Canis lupus familiaris: one gene and its partners. The protein of the gene in region 3 interacts with the protein of the main gene of each other region in a biochemical or structural test. Links are inferred from orthologs where the notes say so. Each region holds a gene or a part of one and is shown on either strand. Other genes may lie near its edges.

Region 1 (4,271 bases), on a different chromosome or scaffold from region 3:
GGCCACGGTCAGGCCGCAGTCAGGGCTGTTTTTCTCGCCCTGACACTTCTCCTGTCAACAAACAGAGCCCCCTCTAGAGTTTACCCAAACAAACGCCCCAACAGTCCGCAGTGCCCAGGCCTCCACAGAACTGCCTCAGCAGGACGGCCTCCAAGCCCGGCCTCCAAGCCCAGCCTCCAAAGAGTCATGTGACCCTGTTATTTCGGGAGGCCCCGGAATGTGCTCTATTTTGGGTCCCTCGGGGCTCTGATGTTACCAGAAGCCCCTTACCAGGGTTCCAAGCTCACGCAGGTCCCCCGAGAGTCCCCCAGAGGATGGCCAGTGGGCCTGTGGCTCTGCTACTGGCCGCCCTGTCCCCTCAGGCAGCTAGTGAGCTACTGTTAGCCAAGCCGGGTCTGGCCAGGCCTGGGACCTCTGGGCCTCCTCTGTAGGCCTCCCTCATGGGTGTGGGGGGCACTGGGAGCAGGGGCTGCCTCAGACCACTCAGCCCCCAGATCTATAGCTGGGGCTCGTCCCTGTCCTTACCAGGTAGCTCGGTGGGCAGCAGCTAGGAAACAAACTCCCAGGTGGAGGAGGGCAAGGGCCCAGACCCACCAGGCCCCGAGGCAGGGGGCGCTGGGGGAGGAGGCCCTCTCTGCCCAAGGCCCCGCAAGCACAGTAGAGGGCTGTGTGGCCTTCCTGGCAGCGCCAGGGCTGGCCTGGGCTGCCAGCCGGGCCCTGGCCGAGTGAGCGAGTGAGCGGGGCCTTCTGACACTCACCCCCAGGAGGGATTAGGCTGTGTTTACAAAAGAGCTTGGGCAAGTAGCTGCTTAATCGGACCTTCAACTCCACCGCACTTCAGAGCTGGTCACAAGCTCAGAAAAAATAAAATGTCATCAGACAGAGCCCAGGACTCTCCACTCAAGCCTGGGGCTTGGGCTGCTGGGAGGCCACCGGCCTGGAGGAGGAAAGCCTCTGAGTCTCTGAGTGACCCATCCAGCTTCCTGGGGCAATGGCTCAGAGGCAGGACCTCCCCTTTCCGTGGGGATTCCAGCACAACTACCCTGCAGCCTGAGCCCTACATGGGCCAACTCCTGGGACCCTCCCAGAACGTCAAAGCCTGTTCCTGCTCCCCTCCTAGTACCCAGCCAGGGCCCTGCCACGTTCGGGGCGGGGAGCAAAGACAGCCAGACGTTCCTGCTCCAGAAGGGATCCTCTGGGAGAGCCTAGCTCTGTGCACATAGGAGTGTGCTCCAGCCTTGACCAGCAAGGGGGGGCGGGGGGGGGGCAGGGGGAGGAAGACGACACTACTTAGCTTTATTTTCTCTTCCACACACACTGGCACCCACTGACTGGGGGGTTAAAATCCAGAATCCACCACTTTGTATCCTGTGGCCTCAGCTTCTCCCAGTTTTCTCATCCGCAAAATGGGCACATATGTCCACCTCTGGAGGCTATGGGGAGGACCAGGCTCATGCAAGGAGGGCACTCAGCTTGGTCCCTTTGGAGATCTTCACCTTACAGAATCAGAGAGGGCATCTTCCTCCATCTGACAAACCTGACGAACCTTGTTCCAGTCTCCCTGCAGCAGCCCCCGTTTGTGAGTGGGCTGCGGGGTACCTAGGGGTGCTCAGATCCTCCCCCTGACCCATGGGCAGGGGGAAGGCAGCTCCACACTGGCTCCCCTCCACCTCCCAATCTCAGCAAAGGTCGGTACAGCTGTGCTGGGTTCTGACCGCCAACCTGGTGGCCAAACTGCGCCCCAGGCTGCAGGGGGGTGGGCAGGCAGGAGGGGCAACTGACCGAGGGCTTTCATTCATAATCAGCTGTTTTAATTTCCATTCAGCACAGATCCTTCACCCAGCCTGACAGCCTGGCTGCCGGCCCCACCACCAAATTAATATCCTTCGCGGCGCCCGTTCATAAAGTCTCCCCACCCCCTCCCCCTCCCCTGCCTCTCACAGGCTCCCCAACCCTAGGGAGGGCAGCGGCTGGGGGCGCCCAGCCAAGCCCCTTCCTCCTGCTACGTGGGTCGTGGGTCGGGGCCTGGAGTCGGGACGCGGTCTGGGGCAGGGCAGCCCCTGGGCGGGATGGCACCGGGAGGGCGGGAGAACTGAGCCTCCGCGCCCGGGGTGTCCTTCCCCCAAGTGCAGAGCCGGCCCCCGAGAACGCCCCGCACCACGCCCGGGTGCGCCGGAGCAGGGGGCGCCGGTTCTGGGATTCCCGGCGCTCCGGCCCCCGGGTGACCCTGCGCACCCGCCGAGCCGCTCCGGGAGGAGGGGTCCGCGCGTCCCCGGCCGGCGGCCTGCTGGCCTCGGCAGCCCGGGCGGCGGCGCACAGGCCGTCCCGGTGCCAGGCGGCCGCAGGCTGGGAGCGCACAAGTTGCTCCGCCCGCCCCGGCCCGGCCCCTGCGCAGCCCGGCGCGAGCTGTGCGCCCGGGGCTGCCGGCGGACCGGCGTGGCCAGGGGAGGGGGCGCCGGGGGACCCCCGCCCGCAGCCGGCCGCCCGCTCTCCCCCGCCGCCGCCGCCGCCGCCGCCGCTCCCGCCCCGCGCCCCGCGCCCCGCGCCCCGCGCCCCGGCCGGCCCGGGAAAAGTTGCCCGGCCGCCCGCCCCAGGCCGGCGCCCCAAGTCGGCGAGGCCGCGGGGGGCGCGGGGGCGCGGGGCCGAGCGGGCCGGGGACGCGCCCCGCCGCCCCGCCGCCCCGCGCCCCGCGCCCCGCGCCCCGCCGGCCCGCGAGCACTCACCGAGCGGCAGGAAATGTTTGGTGTCCATGTCGGCGGCCCCCGCGGCCGGGGCGGGACGGCGGGGCGAGCGCGGCGGCCCCCGGCGCGGCCGGCCGGGCCCGGGCGGCGGGAGCCGGCGGCGGCGGGGCGGCGGCGGCGCGCGGAGGCCGCGGCGCGGCGAGTTGTTGCAAAAGTCGCCCAACAATGTAAACTACTTGCGCTGCGCGCCGCCGCCGGCTCCCGCGCCCGCGCCCGCGCCCGCGCCCCCGCCCGCGCCCGCGCCCCCGCCGCGCGCGCCCGCGTCCGCTCCTCTCCGACCGCCGCGGCGCCGGCGGGGGGGCGGCGGGGGGCCCGCGACGGGCGCGGACTCGGCGCAGCGCCGCCGCCGCCGCCGCCGCCGCCCCGCCCCGCCCCGCCCCGCCCGGCCCGGCCCGGCCCGGCCGCCCCGCCCGGCGCGCGCCCCCCCGCGGACCCCGCGCCCCCGCGCCCCCGCGCCCCCGCGAGCACGCGCGCTGGGCCGCGAGCGCGGAGCGGGCGGCGCGCAAACTTGCGAGTTGGCCGCGGCCGGGCTTCCCGGGAGCCGCGCGGGGCGGCGGGGGAGGGGCGGGCGCGGGGTTCCCTCCTCGCAGAGGGGGAGGCGGGCGGGCGGGCGGGCGGCGGGGCCCTAGGCGGCCGGGCCATTGTCTGGGCGGCCACACAAAGCGGCCGGCCGCGCCGCGCCCCGCCCCCGCCCGCCGCCACGTGGGGAAACTGAGGCCCGCGGCGGCCCGAGCTCGCGCAGGGGTGCGGGCCGGGCCTCCGCCGCGAGCCCTCCAGCGTCTGGGCCTGTGCCCCAGCCGCCCCCCACCCCCGCTTCCACGCCCCTGGGAAGCCCTGGTCGCCGACACCCTGGGCCCGGAGGGAGGGCGGGGGGCCCGGGATCCCTGCACGCCGGCCCGACTCCGACTTCGGGGACCCTCTTTAGAAGCACCGGGCTGGGGAGGAGCTGCCCTGAGTTGGGTGCTGACTTCGGGGCCCCGGGGCTACTTCTCTGCCCTGACTTTTAAATTCCTGATTTGTTTGCTGAAAAAAGAAAGGAAGCACGCTGCCCCGGACCGCTTGGCGGCCGGAGTCGGGGTTCAAGGGTTACCTGCGTGGGGCGGACCTCACCGAGCAGATGCAGCCCGGAGGCGCCCCCTCGCCATCCGCCCCCACAAGCCCTGCTGCACCCATCCTTGGCAGGGAGACCCAGGCTCCAGGAGGTGGAGGGGCTTAGCAAAGTCACATGGGCTGCACATGGTGATCCTGGCCCCCCCCCGGGGGGGGGGGCGCTAGTGATTGGAAGTTGATGGCCTTGCTGCCCAGAGACCCCCACTCCCCATCATTGACAAAAAAGCCAGTCCTACTGCCTGGTGCACCGCTGCTACCAGTGTGACACTGGGTTAGCCTTGCCCCCCATCTGGGCTTCACTTTCTGCTCTGTGAAATGGGGAGTGTAGCAGGACCTGCCTGCCACCTGACAGCCGGGAGCTAGGGCCACTCTGACCTGCCCTGGGGGGAGGCTGTCATTCCACTTGGGGCAGGAGCATGG
Region 2 (4,297 bases), on a different chromosome or scaffold from region 3:
AGGATCAGATGTAAAGATTAAATGGGATAAATGTTGATGAGAGGCTATATAAATTGCCAGTGTTGTACAAACACAAGAATGGCCTACCTAAATTGTTTCTACTTTAACAAAAAGAAATCCTAACTGGCTTATGACAGATAAGAGACTCTCCAGGTGGGGCAGAAGTAATTTAACAGGCCGTCCAGCTTCTTTCCTCCCGGGTTTCAACTTCTCTGATTTCTTTCTTCTGCAAACATTACCGCATGCCCACTAGGTGATATAGGTCCTTATTCTTGATCTTCCAGAAGGGCCTAGCTGTCCTCCTTCTGGTCTCCCCCTTCTTCTTCCAAGTCAAGGTGTTCTATCTATAAAAAACGTCCTGCCTGCATGGGGGGGGGGGCACCCCCAACCCTTTTTCTGGTTGCATTTGGCACAGCTGAAATGAACTGTTATTTGTGAAACTTTTCCAGGTATTAAGAGAGACCCTCACCTCCCACCCCCCACCAGCCAAAGTACAGTCAAGTAGTCAAGTTTTTAAATTACAGAATTACAGATTGGAAGACTGGGAGAAGAAAAAAAAGAAAAAAGAAAGAAAAAAGAAAAAACTACTCTCTCCTCTCCAGCTGGATTTCAGTTCCTAAACTTCTGCTTCTCACACCCTTGTTCTAAGGAAGTGAGCCTTTCCCACCTTTCAAGAATACAATGAGGGCTCAGTGGCATGTAAGCCCCAAGCCCAAGTGAACAAAGCAGCCACTATATTCTGTCTTCATCCCCATAGAAACCTGGAGCACCCTCTTTCCTCTGATTCCCACAGGGTCAAGGTTGGTTTATTTTCAGCAGATGGGTGGCGAGGTTATTGTTATTTATTGCCACTGTCCTGATGTTAGTTTGGCTAAGTAATAAACCGAGGGTCCTTCTGGGGCATGGAACCTTCCACGGAGCTCTCTGTGCTTCGGCTAATCAACCAGATTTTGCAAAGGCCACGAAAAAAAAAAAAAAAAATCAGGCCTGCGCCGACCTCTCCCGGCCTCCGAGGCGAGGGCCGAGCGCCCTCCCGAGGGCCTGCTCCACCTCCCGCCAACTCGGAAAGCGCCTGCGGAGCAGAGGGGGGCCCCGCTTGCACCCAAAGGGGAGAAGAAACAGCTCGGCAGCCGACGGCAGAGCCGACATTGACACCTGTTCAGGCGGACTTAGGTGAATCTCCCTCTTGACTCCTAATTCCTTAAGTGGAATCGCCCCTAAGCACGAGTAAGGACTGCGCTCGAACCCCCGGCGGGGAGGGAGCGGGGCGGTGGAGGGTGCGCCTTCGGGGGTGCGGGCTTTGCAGCCCCCGCCGGGCCCGGGCTGTCTCCGTGTTTGAACTCGGCCCGCCCTAGAGTCACCGCGAGAACCCCCCCAGGTCGTCGAGCTGGCTCGCGCCGCAGCACAGCAAGTCAAGGCAACGCAATAGGAAGATTGAAAAAAAAAACGCGAAGCACGTGGCACCCAGAAGCTCACTTTTGTTGGCCCCTCTCCCGACCCGTAGCCGCGCCCTATTATGACCACGTGGGAGGCTCGCTCTATAAAAGCCGGGCTCGGAGCGTCCCGTCGCCACAGTCGCTTCCTGTTCTTGGCGCGTCGGTCGGCTCGTCGCTGAGGCCGCGGGGGCCGTGAAGATGGCGTCTACCAGCCGGTTAGTACGTCCGGCCGAGCCGCGCTCGCTGAGGGGCGGGCGGAGAGTGCCAGAGTGGGCAGGCGGGCCCCGGGGGGCCGTGTCGGGCAGAGCGTTCCGGAGGTGCGGGGGGAGGCGGTGGACTGGCTGGCCGAGCCGGACAAAGGCGCTTCCAGACGGCAGGGCTGTCAGGGGCGGCTCAGGGGCTGCCGACCGCGGCGCTCCCACAGCGGCGGTACCACCCGACGTCCTGGCTCGTGAGCTCATCCGGCCGCCACCCTGTGAGGGCCGCTGTGTCCCCAGCCCCCCCTCGTTTCGCGTCTTTTTTTGGGGGTGGGTGGGGGGGGGTGGATATCTTAACTGTGGTGTTTTTGTTTTTGTTTTTTTTGTGTGTGTTAATTTTTTTCTACGCTTGTTTTTCCAGCTGTGGCTCAACCAGCCCACGATCCTTTCCAAAAAGCGGGAAAGGGTTAGTTCCAGGCCCCTGTCGATCTGACAGCTGTAGAGTTAGGGACGTCAGCCCGAGGGGAACTGATTACCGTCCCAGAGGCCTTCCGAAATGGAAGCTGGGGGCGTTTCCGAAGAGTTGAGAAGTTCCCTTCTAAGAGGTTTATATTTTTACAGAGGTCTTCTGCATTCTCCTGAAGAAAATCTTGCCTGCAGACAATTGCTTACATACGCTGGGAAGTTACTAAGTCTTTTTTTTTTTTTTTTTTTTAACACTAAGATATTTTTTTTTTTAATGTGATATACTCCTATCTACAGGAAATAAGTGCAGTGCCCTTAAAGACAGCCTTTAATCCTGTGGTCCGAAAAAAATGTTTGTAGACCCTAATTAAGTCTCTCATTACCACTACGAGGTAGATATTAGTATTTTTGCATAAGTGTAAACTGAGTCATGCCGGTGTTGACTTTTCCAAGGTCAGTGTCAGAACAGAGTGTAGAATCCCTTATCAGTTTCCTGTTACCACGCAGCTGGCCTCTAGTTAGCTCATAATGTATTGAAAGTGTCAAGTTCTATAGCTTCTGGGGAGGTAACTGGCATAATTTTTTTGAATTTGTTATCCTCTGTGAGAATTGAGTTCCCAGTAAAAGCCAGTATCACAAAACAGCAAACTGGAGAAGTCCGGGCCCTTTTGTGGTACTGCTAAGACTTACTGCTTTATGTTACTGTACTTTTTAAGGGGGGAAAAAAAAACGGTGTTGGGGGAGGCAGTGTTAGCTAAAACAACTTGGAAACCACTCAAAGCCAGGGACACTCTTGTTTACTGATTGTACTTCTGTGATTGAATACTCAATCATTCGGTCTGGGTGTGGCTCTGTTGGGAAAGGCTTTTCTTGTAGGTAAGTGGAAAACTTGAGCTTCCTGAAGACACCTAACTACCACGTCTTAGGGCAGTAGATCTGAAAAGTAAATGTGGTCACACTTGGGCACAGCTTTTCCATAGGATAGGACAGGAATTTTGTAAGAAAAATTTGCAACAGTTAACTGTAGTTAAGTTCATGTGCTAGATTCTTTATCAAAAGAATACACTTACCATTGTGTGTCTCTATTTTCTTCATTTGTTAAAAAATAATTTTTGAAATAAATTGTTTCTGGACACGTCCAGGTCTTAAATCTATGTGTCATTGAGTTGTCCATCTCTAAATTTTCTACGGGTGAGAACAAAGGTAAAATGTTAGTATTTCTGCCTTTTAGTTTGTTTTTTTTTTTCCCCCCTTGAGGGAGAATAGTTACTAGATTATGAAACTGCCTGGTGTTTTCACAGAGAAAAACACAAATGTTGTGAGTTCAAGTCTAAACTCCACCATTTTTCTGTAATTTCAGGCTAATCGTTTTGTAAGCTTAATCTTTAGAAGGGAAATAACCTTTATTTTGCAGGGTTGCTATGAAAATGAATAATAAGTGTAGCACTAGGCACACAGTGGGGACCCAATAAGTGATCGTTATAAAGTGAGATTTGGGTTTATCTGGCTCCTTAGGTACTCTGAATTGTTTTAATGTCTTGGGTGGTTGTTTACTCCATTCTTTCTCTTTCATTTCTCTCTCTCCCTTCCCCCACTGCCCTACTCTTGTGGCTCCTTTTTGATTACTCTTGTGGATATTCTAATTAAAGTTGACTGCTGTATCATGATTCATTTTATTTTTTTTATTTTTTTATTTTTTTTATTTTTTAATATTTTATTTATTTATTCATGAGATACACAGAGAGAGAAGAGAGAGGCAGAGACACAGGCAGAGGGAGAAGCAGGCTCTACGCAGGGAGCCCGACATGGGACTCGACCCAGGTCTCCAGGATCACACCCTGGGCCGCAGGCGGTGCTAAACCACTGCACCACCAGGGCTGCCCCTCATGATTCATTTTATTTTGGATACGTAACACACAGTAGTACAAAAACAAAAGTGAAAAGAAGTTTCTTGCCTAGCTCTCAGCCATCTAATTCTCCCCTGAAAGCAGCCATCATAACCAGTTTCTTGGTGTTTTCCTAATAGTTTAACAAACTTGTTTAACAGTGCCAATCTCTCTTGTTCCCCCAAAGTCCATTGTAAACAGTTTGCTACCTTTTTACCATTTTTGTGAAGTTAGCACACATTTTAGGTGCACAGTTCAGTTAAAAATGAGCGCATAGACATAGCTACCACCCCAGTCAAGAAATTAATTGCCA
Region 3 (4,157 bases):
GAGAGAAGCAGGCTCCATAGAGGGAGCCTGATGTGGGACTCCATCCCAGGATCCCAGGACTCCAGGATCATTCCCTGAGCTGAAGGCAGACGCTCAACTGCCAAGCCACCCAGGCGTCCCCATCTGTGAACTTCCTATGAGCTTCATCATTGAAGTACTACTCTGTAACATCATCTTGTTCCCAGGAGTTCATTTCCCAGAGTCGTTAGTACAGTTACGGGCACACCATCCTCCCATCACATATTCCAAGTACCTGTCTTCTATCTGACTTCCTGCCAGCCTTGAAGCTAACACCTTAAGGGCAGATCCAGGTCTTCTTTGTCTCATTAACCGCCCCCCCCCCCAACCCCCACCACAGCCAGCACAGAGCTGGACACAGAAGAGGTGACAAATACACTAGATGCCTGCATGAAGCCAGAGCTCCTCTAGTGGGCCATTCCCCACCAACCCCTTCCTCCTCACAGGCTTGTCCCTCCCTCTACCCTTCCCATGGCTCCTTGGTCACTTACGGTTGTCAAAGATGGGATGGGAGAGGACAGGTGACAAGCGCAGGGGCCTGCCTGCCGGGTCCCGCACTGTCACCTGGAAGCAGAGCCGCACCGCATTCAGGTCATAGTCCCCACGCTGTTCTTCTATGGGAACTGCCACAAGAATAGACGGTCAGGGGACCGGGAGGCGTGGCAGGGGATGAGGGGGGCAGGGAGCTCTGGACCCGGGAGCATTGTCTGAGGGTGTGTCAAACAGTGGGAGTCCTAAAGGAGGAGAGAGAGAAGATTCTAGACCCATCACTGAACTGTGTGACCCACCTGTGCCCCTGGGTGTTATGCCCCCTCACTGGCTCCCAGTTTCCCCAGTGGTAAATGGGAGTGGGTACTGAATGGGCAGCAAAATTCCATCAGTACTAAGAGTCTTGGCCAATAAGGGAGGTGGCTTGGAAGAACCAGAGAGGGTGGGGGTGCTTCGGACAGGTCTCAGCCTTTGCTCCCTCAGCCCTCAACTTGTTTTTTATTTTATTTTATTTTATTTTTTAAATTTATGATAGTCAGGCAGAGAGAGAGAGAGAGGCAGAGACATAGGCAGAGGGAGAAGCAGGCTCCATGCACCGGGAGCCCGACGTGGGATTCGATCCCGGGTCTCCAGGATCGCGCCCTGGGCCAAAGGCAGGCGCCAAACCGCTGCGCCACCCAGGGATCCCTCAGCCCTCACCTTGGAAGGGGTTGTTGTTGGTCTGGATGCGCTGGCTGATGGCCTGCTCCAGGTCCCGCTTCTTTACACACTGGATCCCCAGGTTCTGGAAGCTGAGTCCCTCTCCATGTATTAGTCCCATTGTCTCTGCCCAGTCTGTTCCTCCCTCCCCTCCCCATTCACCAAATCACCACTGTGCTTCCTATTGTGCTGTAAAGAAACCCACTCTTTACCTTGGCTGACAAGCATCTGTGCCCTGCTGCCTGGGCTCCCTACCCTCAGTAACAGCCGCTTCTTTTCTGTTTCCCAAACACCCTAAACTCACCCCCACTTCAAGACCTTTGCATTTGTTCACTCTGCTTGAAATGTTTTTTCCCATGCTTCTCTGCTCTCCTCACTATTCAAGCCTTAACAGAGAGGCTTTTCCTGACCTCCAACTTGCCGACCTTCCCTCCACCAGTGGGCTATTCTTCCAACCTAACTATGTTATTTTCATCAGTGAAGTTACTTTGGGGGTTCAGAGGTTATTAGGGATCCATTCCTATCCCATGGAGCTCATATCTACTTGACAGTTGAGATGCACAGATGATTTCAAGGCAAAGAGAATCTGCTTGCAAAGCTAGAAGTGAAGAATTCTTCCCAGTGTCCAGAATGGAGTAACACTATAACAGCTACACACCCACCCAGCCTCCCGTCTCCTCACCTCACCCCCCATACCCGGCTGGTCAGGAGTTCACCTGTGGATGCAGCGGTCGGGGCAGAGCTCAGCCTCATAGAAGCCATCCCGGCAGTCTTTCCCCACAAGCTCATGGGGATGAGGCCGGTGAGGGGGGTCCTTGGTGACCAGGGAGATGCGAACTGTCCCTGGCCCCGTGTAGCCATTGATCTGTTCAAAGTACAGAGAACTTCTAGAGACTCCGGGAAGTCCAAACCTAACTCCCAGACACTGCACCCAGCCCCACCCCCCACCTGGAGGCGGCAAACCCACCCTGTGCCCCCCACACCACCACTAACAGTCATGCTGACCTTGATGGTGGGGTGGGTCTTGGTGGTGTCTGTGCTCCTCTCGCCCGGGATGCTGCCCGCTGAGCGGCCCTCGCACTTGTAGCGGAAGCGCATGCCCCGCTGCTTGGGTTGCTCGATGATCTCCACATAGGGGCCAGAGGCCTGGGCGGGCTCTGTGGCCAGACCCGGACCAGCTCCAATCAGGCGGCTGCCCTCCTCGCCCCTAACCCCAGGGCACTCCTCCCCCAATCACCGAGAGGGAAGGCGGTCCACTTACCAGCTGGGAAGATGAGGGGAAACAGGTCTGAAAGGGAGGGAGACAAGGATCAGCACAAGCCCCCTTTCCCCCTTTCCGTCCTTACCGGGGAGCGCCTGCTTCCTCACGGAGAGGACAGAGCGCCAGGCTCCCTCCCCGCCAAGGGCACTGGGGCAGGGCCCGCTCCCTGGAACCTGCGGTGAAACTAAGGGGAAGGGGTGAAGAAGGCAGAAACAGCTGTTTCCCGAGGGAAAACTGGCCAGAGCGCCTTCTCCTTACTGAGGGAAACGGAGTCAGAGGCTGTTCTACTTCCAAAAGGAAAACTACGGAGGGCACCCCCACGCCTCATCCTGAGAGCAAACGGAGTCGGATACACTTTCCCCTAACGAGGAAACGAAGTCAGACCTGCGCCCAGGGCCCCGGAGTGAAGCTGGGCCGAAGCTCCCCGCCACCCCGGAGATTACGGAGTCAAGACCCCGCCACCCAGTGGGGAAACTGAGTCAGACCCTTCAAAGCCCGCCCCGCCCCGCGCCACCATCCGGCCGGCCGCTCCCTGCGCAGCACCCGCCGGCGCAGGAAGGGGCGGAAGGCGGCGCGGGGGCTCCCGTCGCCATCCCCGCGGCCCCGACGCGCCCACCCCGCGGGGTCAGAGGGCGCCCTCACCGTCCATGGCTGGGGTCCCGGGGGCGGGGCCGGGGTCGCAGCTGGGCCCGCGGCGCGCGCTACAGCCAAGCCATTCGCCAGAGGCGGAAATGCGCCGCGCGCGCCCGCCGCCGCGTCACTGCCGGGAATCCGGCCGCGCCTGCGCGCTGCGCCACCTCCGCCGCCGCCGCGGCCGCCGCAGCCCCTGCCGCTGCCGCTGCCGCCGCCACCCTGGGGCGGGGCGGGGCGGGGGGCAACTGTGCCCCGCGCCGACGACGGAGAGGCCGCGCGCCGGACGCCACGGCCCGAGGCTGGGGACAGGTTGCGCCGCTCCGGGGACTAAGAGGCTGCTCGTCCCGACGCCGCTCCGGGGCTGGCAGGGCTGCTGGGCTCCCTCCCCGGTCTGGGCTCCGTCTGGAGGGCGGGCCCGGTGATTACTCACAATGTTTTTAGGGGATTTCGGGGGCCCCCTCCCGCTGATCGGAGGAGTTTGGTGATGTCACCGGGCCCGGTCTGGAGCCCAGCCAGGACTGCTGGCTGCGGCCGCCTGCCCTGCGCAGGGAAAGGCCCGGGCCTAATTCGCCCGCAAAGGCCAGGTGACCGAACTCCACGGGGCTTCTGACCGCTAAAGGTGCCTCTTGGTGGTGGTCGCGGCATAAGCATTTTTTAATTAGCCACCCACCGCCGTGGGGGCGAAGGGGGACGACCTGATCTCTCCACCTGGCAGCGCCTGCACCGTGGGCTTTGTGGAGCCTGCTGCTCGAGGGCGACCCAGGTGGCGCCGCGTCTGCTCCCGCTGGCGAGGGGGCACCTGAGGGCTTTTAGGGTTAAGAAGCCTGTGCGTTTACGGTTCCTCCATACTGTCGGCCCTCGGGGGCGATGGATGGACAAGAGGCGCCCAGGGGTAAATCTTCGGAGCCTCGTCTCTGCAGCCAGATATCCTTCTTAGAAAGTCCGGTACTTCTGGGGCCGCCTAAACCGACAGGGTCATTCCCGCCTCCGCTCGTCTCTCCAGGGCCTACTGCTAGGGTCCAAAGCATTTCCACTAATTACCCACCAAATGACCTCT
Region 4 (3,592 bases), on a different chromosome or scaffold from region 3:
TCAGGTTGGCAAAAAGGTCTTAGGGTGCTCTGATAAGAGCTTTTAAGACTAGTGGGGGACATGAGGCCCTGTGACCTTGGGTGTCCTATGCCCCCCCCCCCCCGGGCTTCTTTGTACCCTGTGGGAGGGAGGTGGCTTCTTTCTGATGTGCCTCCCAGAGTGGACCTCAAACTTAAATTAAGCCTTCTGTTTGGGAGTCCGTGGTGGAGACAATGATACAACTAATAATAATAACCGTAACAGCACTTTCATGGAAGGAGCTTGGAGTGAAGTGACTCGCCCAAGGTCACGCAGCGTGGCCGCCGAGCACCCCCCACCCACCCCCTTCCACCTCCCTGGGCCCAGGTCAGGGTCGGGTGGGGCCAGAGAAGACCCAGGTGTGGTCTAAGGGGGCGGGCAGGGCCGGTGGGCGGGGCTGGGGGCGGCGCAGTCGCCGCGGCCGAGGTCCCGGTGGGGCTCTCCCCCGAAGTGCCCCCCACCGGGGTCCTTGCGTTAGACGTGCCTTTAGGAGGGGCGGGGGGCCTCCCCCAGCGTGGAATCCCCTCCTTCCGAGGGCTGGGGTTGGGAGCAAGTTTTGGGGCGGGGAGGGGCCGGCCGCGCGGGGGAAGGACGGTGCAGGTGGGTCACCTCTCGGGGGGCCGGGGCGGGGCCGGGGTCTCCGGGATCCGGCCTGGGGAGCGCCGGCCTCCTCCGTGGGGCGTCCGGGCGGGCTCGGCGGGTCCCGAAGCCTCCGCCGCCTCCAGCAGGGGGCGGGCGGCGGCCGTGCTTCGGGAGGGGGAAGGCGGTCGCGCTGCCCCCTCCCCGCGGCCCCCCCGGGGCGGCCTCCAGCCCGGAGGGGGCGGTCCGGGGGCGGGGTCGCGCCGCCCCTCCTCGCTCCCAATCCCCGCGCCGCCGGGTGGGGGTGGGCAGGGGGCGTCAGGCCGCCCCCCCGCGGGCCCGCGGACCCCCCGAGGGCGCGCCCCGGCTCTCGGGTCGGGCCGCCGGGCCCCGCCGGCGCCCTCGCGGGGGTCTCGGGCCGCCACCCCGCGTCCCGGCGGCGGCGGGAGGGGCCGGGGCGGCTGCCAGCGTGACGCAGCCGTTGCCATGGGTCGCCTTATAAATAACCGGGCTCGGGAGAAACTTTAGCGAGTCAGAGCCGCGCACGGGACCGGGAAGAGGACCCACGCGAGGGTCCAGCCGTCAGCCCCCGCACCGGCAGCGGCCCCCCGGCGGCAGCGGCCCCCCGGCGGCAGCAGCGGCGGCGGCGGCGGCGACCCAGCGGCCACGGTCGGAGCCGGGAGGCCGCGCCACCTGCGGGCCGGCCGGAGCGGGCAGCCCCAGGCCCCCTCCCCGGGCACCCGCGTTCATGCAACGCCTGGTGGCCTGGGACCCAGCATGTCTGCCCCTGCCGCCGCCGCCCGCCTTTAAATCCATGGAAGTGGCCAACTTCTACTACGAGGCGGACTGCTTGGCTGCTGCGTACGGCGGCAAGGCGGCCCCCGCGGCGCCCCCCGCGGCCAGACCCGGGCCGCGCCCCCCCGCCGGCGAGCTGGGCAGCATCGGCGACCACGAGCGCGCCATCGACTTCAGCCCGTACCTGGAGCCGCTGGGCGCGCCGCAGGCCCCGGCGCCGGCCACAGCCACGGACACCTTCGAGGCGGCCCCGCCCGCGCCCGCCCCCGCGCCCGCCTCCTCCGGGCAGCACCACGACTTCCTCTCCGACCTCTTCTCCGACGACTACGGAGGCAAGAACTGCAAGAAGGCGTCCGAGTACGGCTACGTGAGCCTGGGGCGCCTGGGGGCCGCCAAGGGCGCGCTGCACCCCGGCTGCTTCGCGCCCCTGCACCCGCCGCCCCCGCCGCCGCCGCCGCAGCCCGCCGAGCTCAAGGCGGAGCCGGGCTTCGAGCCCGCGGACTGCAAGCGGAAGGAGGAGGCCGGGGCGCCGGGCGGCGGCGCCGCAGGCATGGCGGCTGGCTTCCCGTACGCGCTGCGCGCCTACCTCGGCTACCAGGCGGTGCCGAGCGGCAGCAGCGGGAGCCTGTCCACGTCCTCGTCGTCCAGCCCGCCCGGCACGCCGAGCCCCGCCGACGCCAAGGCGCCCCCGGCCGCCTGCTACGCGGGGGCGGCGCCGGCGCCCTCGCAGGTCAAGAGCAAGGCCAAGAAGACGGTGGACAAGCACAGCGACGAGTACAAGATCCGGCGCGAGCGCAACAACATCGCGGTGCGCAAGAGCCGCGACAAGGCCAAGATGCGCAACCTGGAGACGCAGCACAAGGTCCTGGAGCTCACGGCCGAGAACGAGCGGCTGCAGAAGAAGGTGGAGCAGCTGTCGCGCGAGCTCAGCACCCTGCGGAACTTGTTCAAGCAGCTGCCCGAGCCCCTGCTCGCCTCCTCCGGCCACTGCTAGCGCGGCCCCCGCGCGCGGCCCCCCGCCGGCCGGCCGGCCGCCCGCTCGCTCCGCCCGCGCGCCCGCCCGCCCGCGCGCCCGCCCGCCTGCCCGCGCGCTGCCGGCCGCGCCGCGGGGACCCGCGCCCCCGCCCCCGCCCCCGCCCCCGCCCCCGGGGCGCCGGCGAAACTTTGGCACCGGGGCGCTTGGCGGCGCGGGGAGCTCGTCGGTAATTTTAATATTTTATTATATATATATATATATCTATATTTTTGTCCAAACCAACCGCACATGCAGACGGGGCGCCCGCCCGTGGTGTTATTTAAAGAAGACGTGTCTATGTGCACAGATGAGTGACAGGCTCGCTGCCTCCCCTGCCTCCTCTCCGGGCGCCGGCGGGCGGGCCGGTTCCGAAGTTGATGCAATCGGCTCGAACATGGCTGAACGCGAGTGTACACGGGACTGACGCAACCCACGTGTAACTGTCAGCCGGGCCCTGAGTAATCGCTTAAAGATGTTCCTACGGGCTTGTTGCTGTTGATGCGTTGTTGTTGTTGTTGTTGTTGATGTCGTTGATGTTGTTGTTTTTTGGTCCTTTTTTTTTTTTTGTATTATAAAAAAAATAATCTATTTCTATGAGAAAAGAGGCGTCTGTATATTTGGGGATCTTTTCCGTTTCAAGCATTAAGAACACTTTTAATAAACTTTTTTTTTTTTTTTTTTTTTTTGGAGAATGGTTAAAAGCCTTTTGGGGGCAGTAGTTGGCTTTCGATTTTTTTTTTTTTAATTTATTTTTTGGTTTAGATGATTTTAGATGTGCTTTCCTGGATGGGGGTGTGTGGGGGGGTAGGGGGGGGTGGGGTTGTTGTGTGTTGGGGGGTTTCTATTATTTTGGGGGTTTTTTGGTGGTTGGGTGGCGGTGTTAACAGCTGTGTCGTGTGTGTGTGTGTGCTTTTTTTTTTTTTTTTTTTTGGTCCTCCCTCCACTGCTGCTCCCTCCAGGGTCTGTGCTTGGAGGTGGGGGATGCCAGGTTTCTGGGGCTCTCAGGGTGACTCAGCGCCCCTGAGTGCTGGGGAGGAGTGACCCGGAACCCTGCTTGGGAAGAGGTCGGCTTGTCCCGAGTGCCAGGCTTGAGTTTAGAGGGAGGGACCTGTACGTCTGTGACCTCTGTAGGGTCCGGTGTTTGGGGGATCCGGCTAGCAGGCCACATTATGTAGGAAGAGGGCG

What was found.
Region 1: the proteins of RELA (region 3) and RXRA form a complex in vitro, tested with the Homo sapiens proteins (2 studies listed by BioGRID). The link is inferred for Canis lupus familiaris from reciprocal best matches to the Homo sapiens genes RELA and RXRA.
Region 2: the proteins of RELA (region 3) and GTF2B form a complex in vitro, tested with the Homo sapiens proteins (2 studies listed by BioGRID and IntAct). The link is inferred for Canis lupus familiaris from reciprocal best matches to the Homo sapiens genes RELA and GTF2B.
Region 4: the proteins of RELA (region 3) and CEBPB form a complex in vitro, tested with the Homo sapiens proteins (2 studies listed by BioGRID). The link is inferred for Canis lupus familiaris from reciprocal best matches to the Homo sapiens genes RELA and CEBPB.

The regions. Positions count from the first base shown.
Region 1 is NC_049230.1:50,540,147-50,544,417, reverse strand, and holds the start of RXRA (retinoic acid receptor RXR-alpha), read right to left. Parts: upstream 2,806-4,271; 5' UTR 2,752-2,805; coding exon 2,724-2,751; intron 1-2,723. UniProt on the Homo sapiens protein: Receptor for retinoic acid that acts as a transcription factor.
Region 2 is NC_049227.1:60,008,308-60,012,604, forward strand, and holds the start of GTF2B (transcription initiation factor IIB), read left to right. Parts: upstream 1-1,492; 5' UTR 1,493-1,634; coding exon 1,635-1,651; intron 1,652-4,297. UniProt on the Homo sapiens protein: General transcription factor that plays a role in transcription initiation by RNA polymerase II (Pol II). Involved in the pre-initiation complex (PIC) formation and Pol II recruitment at promoter DNA.
Region 3 is NC_049239.1:52,050,705-52,054,861, reverse strand, and holds the start of RELA (transcription factor p65), read right to left. Parts: upstream 2,811-4,157; 5' UTR 2,796-2,810; coding exon 2,726-2,795; intron 2,495-2,725; coding exon 2,468-2,494; intron 2,385-2,467; coding exon 2,212-2,384; intron 2,072-2,211; coding exon 1,923-2,071; intron 1,299-1,922; coding exon 1,207-1,298; intron 642-1,206; coding exon 510-641; intron 1-509. UniProt on the Homo sapiens protein: NF-kappa-B is a pleiotropic transcription factor present in almost all cell types and is the endpoint of a series of signal transduction events that are initiated by a vast array of stimuli related to many biological processes such as inflammation, immunity, differentiation, cell growth, tumorigenesis and apoptosis.
Region 4 is NC_049245.1:37,284,664-37,288,255, forward strand, and holds CEBPB (CCAAT/enhancer-binding protein beta), read left to right. Parts: upstream 1-1,247; 5' UTR 1,248-1,345; coding exon 1,346-2,386; 3' UTR 2,387-3,087; downstream 3,088-3,592. UniProt on the Homo sapiens protein: Important transcription factor regulating the expression of genes involved in immune and inflammatory responses. Also plays a significant role in adipogenesis, as well as in the gluconeogenic pathway, liver regeneration, and hematopoiesis.